Linked DNA regions of Macaca mulatta. The protein of the gene in region 1 interacts with the protein of each later gene in a pairwise test. Links are inferred from orthologs where the notes say so. Each region holds a gene or a part of one and is shown in the gene's direction. Other genes may lie near its edges.

Region 1 (4,261 bases):
GATTCAGGCTTTTCAGCTGGAATGTAGGGTTTTGCCAGGGACGCGCCCCTGTCTGCCTAGTATTTCTTGGGGATTCAAGCAATTCTCCTGCCTCAGCCTCCCAAGTAGCTGGGATTACAGGCGTGTGCCACCACGCCTGGCTAATTTTGTATTTTTAGTAGAGATAGAGTTTCTCCATCTTGGTCAGGCTGGCTCAGTCACCGAGGTCAGGGCAGAAGAGAGGAGGAGAGGTCAGAGGGGAGGAGTAAAGGGAGGAGACCCAAGGGAAACAGAGTGGAAGAAATAGGAACAGGAGGTGGGGGTACGAATAAAGAGAACGGAGATGAAGAGGCACAAATAGGGGAGAGGCAGCAGGCACAGCGTAGGGGGAGGAGAAAGCAAGAGAGGCCCATTTTAGAGATCTATTGCACGGATTGGTGACCACAGTCACTTAGTGACTTTGGGAGACTGAGGCAGGCAGATTGCCTGAGATCAGGAGTTCAAGACCACCCTGGGCAACATGTTGAAACCTCATTTCTCCTAAAGTACAAAAAATTAGTGGGGCATGGTGGTGGGCACCTGTAGTCCCAGCTACTCGGGAGGCTGAATGAAGCAGGAGAATTGCTTGAGCTGGGAGGTGGAGGATGCAGTGAGCCGAGATCACACCCCTGCACTCCAGCCTGGGTGACAGAGCAAGACTCTGTCTACAAAAAAAAAAAAAAAAAGTATTGCATAATTGCTAAAAGAGTACATTTGAAATGTTCTCACCACAAAAAAAAGTAGGTGAGGTGATGGACATGTAAATTAACTTGATTTCATTATTCCACAATTTCATCACCTTGTAGACTGTAAATACATATTTAACAATTAAAAATTTTGAAAAGCATTGGTAAGATGTCAAATAATATGTAATTATTGTGTGTACCTGCAATCATCTAAGAGCACATGAGTTCCAGTTTTAATAATAATTTTAGTAAAGGAAAAAAAGGCCGGCCTAAGCGGTGGCGGCAGCAGGCGCAGGGGGGCAGCAGCGAGCACTGCCCAGCGGGACACCCTGCACCCGCCCTGCACCCGCCCCGCACCCGGCTCTGGCCGTGCCAAGGCCACACCCCCACCCATCTAGCTCCGCCCCACTGCCCTCTGTCCCCGCCCCTGCCCCACCAGCCCCGCCCCCTCCAACTCTGCTCAACTTCCGCCAACCCGCCTCCGCCCTCTAGCCCCGCCCCACTGCCGTCCCGCTCCGCCCCGGCGCCGTCAGCTCCGCCCCCCGCCCCCTAGCTCCGCCCCGCGGCCTCCGCACCCCGCCTACTCCGTCCCGCGGCCTCCGCGCCCCGCCCTGCACGCTCGGACTGGCTAGGCGGCTGCTGCGGGCTGGCGGGCGGGCGGGTACGCGGAGGGCCGGTGGCCCGCAGCAGGTGGGCGGGGTGCGGTTAGCTGCGGCGGCTGGGCCTGGGGCTGCCGGCTGCGCTCGGCCCGTGCGCGGCGGCCCTGCGGGCGCACCATGGACTTCAACATGAAGAAGCTGGCGTCGGACGCGGGCATCTTCTTCACCCGGGCCGTGCAGGTGAGGCCTGGCGTCGCGCCGTGCGCCGGGGGCCCGGATGTGCGGCGGGCGGGGAGCACCCTGCGGCAGACGCCTGGGGACGCGGGGAAGCCCTCCCGGGCTGCTGCCCCCGTCCCCGCCGCGGGCACACCTCTGCCCCACTGAGCCCTTGCTGACCAGAAGAGGGAAAGAGCCCGGGCGGCCCGGCCCTACTGCCTGGAGTGAGGCACCGGTGCCCACCCTTTGGGCCGGTTGGGTTATCCTGCTCCCCTGGCGCCTGCCCGGCTGAGGAGGGGAGGAGGCACCGGCTGGGTCCTACCTCCCTGCCCTTGTCCAGCAGTGACCGGCGCCTGGCGGGGCTTTTAGCGACCTGGGTCCCAGGCCCAGGGACTCATGCGTCCGCCACAACCCCTTCTCCGGGCCTCAGTCTCCCCACCTGTGCAATGGGCGGCTGGTGTCATGAGTCCCTCATGGCCATTTCACACGCTTGGATAGTCAGGCCGGAAGCCAGGAGCTGTTTCCTTTCTGCCCCACGGGAGGTCTGTTTCCTTCGTCCCTAGGCCTGGGGGATGGGGAGAGGGCTGGGATCTGCCTGGGAAGCTGTTCAGGCCCACGATACTGAGATTGGAACCAGTCCTGTCCGTTTAGGGGCAGAGAGAAACAGCTCAACATCATGGGAAGACCTAGGCTCAGGTGTGGGTGGGAAAGTGCCCTCCTGTGACCTTGGGGGAGGTGCCTTCACCTCACTGGGCCTCAGTTTCTCAGTCTGAAAAATGGGATCAGTATTCCTGCCTCCCAGGGCAGATGCGAGGATTCTGTGGGACTCTGCATATGTGTGCTCACCGGAGGCAAGCTCATTATTGGTGTCACCGTGGTTAATATTGCACCCATTCAGCATGTGCCCTTGGACAAGTCACTTCTCTCTGAGCCCCGCCTTCCCCTTCTGTAAATCAGGTGTAACACCGTGGTTATGGGATTCAGTGGGATTCCGCAGGCCTGGGGCTGGCCCATTCCAGGGCTCTGGGAGCAGGTCCTGTAGCATTGTCTTTGTCGTTGTCATCTTTGTTGTTTCTGTTGAGTACAGTTGTCTCCCCACCCCCAACCCCGGCACTCCCCTCCCCTCCCCAGGAGCCCAGACACAGCCAGCAACCCATGTAGTCATGTTTACTAGAAAGTGCTGTGTCCCGTTGAGGATTAGCATCCCAGCGAGAATTCACTGCTTAAAGTGTTCCAAGTCTGGTGGGCAGCCCCAGCCCTAGTGGAGATGCCAGGATCCCGGAGCCCCTCGGATTGGATGGCCCCAGTCCATCTGGGAGGGGGGAACCCACTTTGCTGTTGGTATGGCAACCACACTATCTCCCACATCTGGGAAGAACCTGATCTGCCAGTTCCCTGCTAGGGCTGGGGCCCTGCTGCCTGACCTGGCCAGGGCTCTCAGGGCCTAGGCAGAGCGGGGCCTAGGTGTGGCTCTGCTTGGTGGGGGCTGCCCCACAGGGTCACTGTTACTGGAGTGGGAGCCAGCAGTCAGGCCCCAGCCTCGGGGTGGGAGGGAGGGAGCTGGGAGCTTTATAAATAGAGGCTTTCTCTGCTCTGCACGCCCACCCCACTGCTGCCATTTTCCTGGGAGTAGCCTCGGACTCCAGCACCAAACCCCTTCCCCTTGGCAGGATTGGGGCAGAGTGGCAGGCCAGGGGACAGAGAGGCCTGAAATGTGACCTGGCAGGAGAGGCCGTAGAGGGGCTCTGCCTGAGACCACGCTGGCCTGGATGGGAGACAGCCAGGAGGGATGGGAGAGGGGTTCTCTGTGATCAGTACATGTGATGGGCTCGGGAACCTCCCAGTCCCTGCGGGTACGAGAAACAACTTTAAGAGCCTCCCCCATCCAGCAAGGAACAAGGCCTTGGCCCTGAGATGAGGATCCAGAGGGCAGGATCCCTTTTGTATGGGTCATTCTGGGATGGTTTCCTGCACAGAGGGCCCCTGAACTGTGCCCAGAAAGTAGGGAGGGGCCTGTGACGTTGGTCCAAGTGGCAGGAGCAGCCCAGATAAGGGCACGGAGGCAAGAAAACCTAAGGCAGATTTGGCCAGTGGGGGTGGGAGAAGGCAGGAGGAGTGATAGTACTAATACTATTCGTCGTCATTGCAGTAATAGTAATAGTAGTGGTAGAAGTAATGCTTATAAAAGCCAGAGAGGTGGTGGCATCGTCGTCATGGAGCCAGACAGGCTGCAGTGGACATGGGATGAATGCCCTCTAGCTTGGGAAAGCCTGGTAGAACTTCTCACCTGGGCAGATGTGGCCTGTAAGGGAGGGCAGGGTGGGGAGTGCTGTTCTCAACCTTGGTAAGGAGGGCAGGTGTTGAGGTGCACATTTAGGGTGATGCCCTTGGTACCATCAGGGTAGCTCTCAAGAGCTGAGGAGGGATGTGAGGGAGACGTGCCCGCCTGCCTGCCTTCCTCCCTCCCTTCCTCCTTTCTTCTTTCCTTCCTTTTTTTTTTTTTTTTTTTTTTTTTTGAGACTGGGTCTCATCCTATCGCCCAGGCTGGAGTGCAATGGCACAATCTTGGCTCACTGCAACCTCCCGAGTAACTGGGATTATAGGCACCTGCCACCACTCCTGGCTAATTTTTTTTTTTTTTTTTTGTACTTAGTAGAGATGGGGTTTCACCATGTTGGCCAGGCTGGTCTCAAACTCCTGGGCTCAAGTGATCCTCCTGCCTCAGCCTCCCAAAGTGCTGAT
Region 2 (3,689 bases), on another chromosome or scaffold:
AGGTCAACAGAGGAAGGAGTTCCAGGATCCATACAACCCAAGATGTGCCCCCTTCACAAGGACTGGGGATATCCCTGGCTCCACAGAGTATGGCTGTTTCTTTTTTGTAGCTCTAGGGGGACCAGATCAGGGATGGCCGTATGTTCTAGTCTCACTTGTACCACAGGCAGGAAGTTGGGGAGCCCGCAAGGAGATGGGGTCTTGGGGTAAAGGGGGGATGTCTACCCATCTCAGGGAATTGGGGGTTGAGGAAGCACAGGCTTTGGCAGGAATAAAGATGAGTGAGCCAGACAAGGCTATTGGAATCCTCACCCCAGAACCAAAGGGGTCAGCCCTGGACACTTCACCCAGGGTGTGGCATCTTCTTACTCCTGTTTCCAGATCTCAGAGAGGTGAGGACCTTGTTCTCAGAGGGTGACTCGGGTCAACATAGGGACCCCCATCTGGTCTAAAGACAGAGCAGTCCTACGATCTGCCATGCATTTGGGTGAGGAACATGAGGGAGGATTGAGGATACCCCAGGGCCAGAACACTGACAGAGACCGCACAGAAATCAGCTCTGCCCCTGCTGTCACCCCAGAGAGCATGGGCTGGGTCATCTGCCAAGGTCCCTCTCTTATCTTGGGATCATTGATGTCAGGGAGGGGGAGGCCTTGATCTGAGAAGGCTTCACTCACGTCAGTAGAGGGAGAGTCCCAGGCCCTGCCAGGAGTCAAGGTGAGGACCAAACAGGCGCCTCACCCAGGACACATTAATTCCAATGAATTTTGATATCTCTTGCTGTCCTTCCCCGAGGACCTAGGCCCGAGTGGCCAGATGTGGGTCCCCTCCTGTCTTTCTGTTCCTTATCATGGATGTGAGCTCTTTATTTGGATTTCTCAGACCAGCAAAAGGGTGGGATCCAGGTCCTGCCAGGAAAAATGCAAGGGCCCTGCGTGAGAACAGAGGGGATCATCCACCGCATGAGAGTGGGGATGTCACAGAGTCCAGCCCACCCTCCTAATAGCACTGAGGGCCCAGGGCTGTGCTTGCAGTCTGCACCCTGAGGGCCCGTGGATTCCTCTTCCAGGAGCTCCAAGAACCAGGCAGTGAGGCCTTGGTTTGAGACAGTGTCCTCAGATCACAGAGCAGAGGACGCACAGGCTGTGCCAGCAGTCAACGTTTGCCCTGAATGCACACCAAGGGCCCCGCCTGCCGCAGGACACATGGAACTCCACAGAGTCTGGCCTCACCTCCCTACCGTCAGTCCTGTAGAATCGACCTCTGCTGGCCGGCTGTACCCTGAGTGCCCTCTCACTTCCTCCTTCAGGTTTTCAGGGGACAGGCCAACCTGGAGGACAGGATTCCCTGGAGGCCACAGAGGAGCACCAAGGAGAAGATCTGTAAGTAGGCCTTTGTTAGAGTCTCCAAGGTTCAGTTCTCAGCTGAGGCCTCTCACACACTCCCTCTCTCTCCAGGCCCGTGGGTCTTCATTGCCCAGCTCCTGTACACTCCTGCCTGCTGCCCTGACCAGAGTCATCATGTCTCTTGAGCAGAGGAGTCTGCACTACAAGCCTGAGGAAGCCCTTGAGGCCCAACAAGAGGCCCTGGGGCTGGTGTGTGTGCAGGCTGCCGCCGCCTCCTCCTCTCCTCTGGTCCTGGGCACCCTGGAGGAGGTGCCTACTGCTGGGTCAACAGATCCCCCCCAGACTCCTCAGGGAGCCTCCGCCTTTCCCACTACCATCAACTTCCCTCGCTGGAGGCAACCCAATGAGAGTTCCAGCAGCCATGAAGAAGAGGGGCCAAGCACCTCGCGTGTCCTGGAGTCCTTGTTCCGAGCAGTACTCACTAAGAAGGTGGCTGATTTGGTTCGTTTTCTGCTCCTCAAGTATCGAGCCAGGGAGCCGGTCACAAAGGCAGAAATGCTGGAGAGAGTCATCAAAAATTACAAGCACTGCTTTCCTGTGATCTTCGGCAAAGCCTCTGAGTCCTTGCAACTGGTCTTTGGCATTGACGTGAAGGAAGCAGACTCCACCGGCCACTCCTATGTCCTTGTCACCTGCCTGGGGCTCTCCTATGACGGCCTGCTGGGTGATAATCAGATCATGCCCAAGACAGGCTTCCTGATAATCATCCTGGTTATGATTGCAATGGAGGGCGGCCGTGCTCCTGAGGAGGAAATCTGGGAAGAGCTGAATGTGATGGAGGTATATGATGGGAGGGAGCACAGTGCCTATGGGGAGCCCAGGAAGCTGCTCACCCAAGATTTGGTGCAGGAAAAGTACCTGGAGTACCGGCAGGTGCCCTACAGTGATCCTGCACGCTATGAGTTCCTGTGGGGTCCAAGGGCCCTCACTGAAACCAGCTATGTGAAAGTCCTTGAGTATGTGATCAAGGTCAGTGCAAGAGTTCGCTTTTTCTTCCCATCCCTGCGTGAAGCAGCTTTGAGACAGGAGGGAGCAGCTTTGAGAGAGGATGAAGAGGGAGTCTGAGCATGAGTTGCAGCCAAGGCCAGTGGGAGGGGGGCTGGGCTAGTGCACCTTCAAGGACCGTGTCCAGCAGCTTTCCCTGCCTCGTGTGATGTGAGGCCCATTCTTCACTCTGTTTGAAGAGAGCAGTCAGCATTCTCAGTAGTAGGTTTCTGTTCTATTGGATGACTTGGAGATTTATCTTTGTTCTCTTTTGGAATTGTTCAAGTGTTCCTTTTAAGGAATGGTTGAATGAACTTCAGCATCCAAGTTTATGAATGACAGTAGTCACACATAGTGCCGTGTATATAGTTGAGTAGTAAGAGTCTTGTGTTTCATTCAGATTGGGAAATCCATTCTATTTTGTGAATTGGGATAATAACAGCAGTGGAATAAGTATTTACTTAGAAATGTGAAAAATGAGCAGTAAAATAGATGAGATAAAGAACTAAAGAAATTAAGAGATAGTCAATTCTTTTTTTTTTTTTTTTTTTTTTTTTTTTTTTTTGAGACGGAGTCTCGCTCTGTCGCCCAGGCTGGAGTGCAGTGGCGCGATCTCGGCTCACTGCAAGCTCCGCCTCCCGGGTTCACGCCATTCTCCTGCCTCAGCCTCCTGAGTAGCTGGGACTACAGGCGCCCACAACCGCGCCCGGCTAATTTTTTGTATTTTTAGTAGAGACGGGGTTTCACCGTGGTCTCGATCTCCTGACCTTGTGATCCGCCCGCCTCGGCCCCCCAAAGTGCTGGGATTGCAGGCGTGAGCCACCGCGCCCGGCCGAGATAGTCAATTCTTGCCTTATACCTCAGTCTATTCTGTAACATTTTAAAAGATATATGCATACCTGGATTTCCTTGGCTGCTTTGAGAATGTAGGAGAAATTAAATCTGAATAAAGAATTCTTCCTGTTCACTGGCTCCTTTCTTCTCCATGCACTGAGCAGCTGCTTTTTGGAAGGCCCTGAGTTAGTAGTGGAGATGCTAAGGTAAGCCAGACTCATGCCTACCCATAGGGTTGTAGAGTCTAAGAGCTGCAGTCACGCAATCAAGGTGGCAAGATGTCCTCTGAAGATGTAGAGGAAAAGTAAGAGAGAGTGAGGGTGTGGGGCTCCAGGTGAGAGTGGTAGAGTGTAAATGTCCTGAGCTGGGGCATTTTGGGCTTTGGGAAACTGCAGTTCCTTCTGCGGGAGCTGATTGTAAGGATCCTGGGTGGATCCAGGGCCAGATTCTCAGACGGTGAGAGAA

The links.
Region 2: the proteins of SH3GLB2 (region 1) and melanoma-associated antigen 1 interact in binary tests that used the Homo sapiens proteins (3 or more experiments, as listed by UniProt). The two-hybrid records come from large-scale screens. The link is inferred for Macaca mulatta from reciprocal best matches to the Homo sapiens genes SH3GLB2 and MAGEA1.

The regions. Positions count from the first base shown.
Region 1 is NC_133420.1:18,617,969-18,622,229, forward strand, and holds the start of SH3GLB2 (endophilin-B2), read left to right. Parts: upstream 1-1,451; 5' UTR 1,452-1,480; coding exon 1,481-1,543; exon of another isoform or gene 1,544-1,965; coding exon of another isoform or gene 1,966-2,061; intron 2,062-4,261.
Region 2 is NC_133426.1:159,459,738-159,463,426, reverse strand, and holds melanoma-associated antigen 1, read left to right. Parts: upstream 1-1,466; 5' UTR 1,467-1,520; coding exon 1,521-2,471; 3' UTR 2,472-3,184; downstream 3,185-3,689.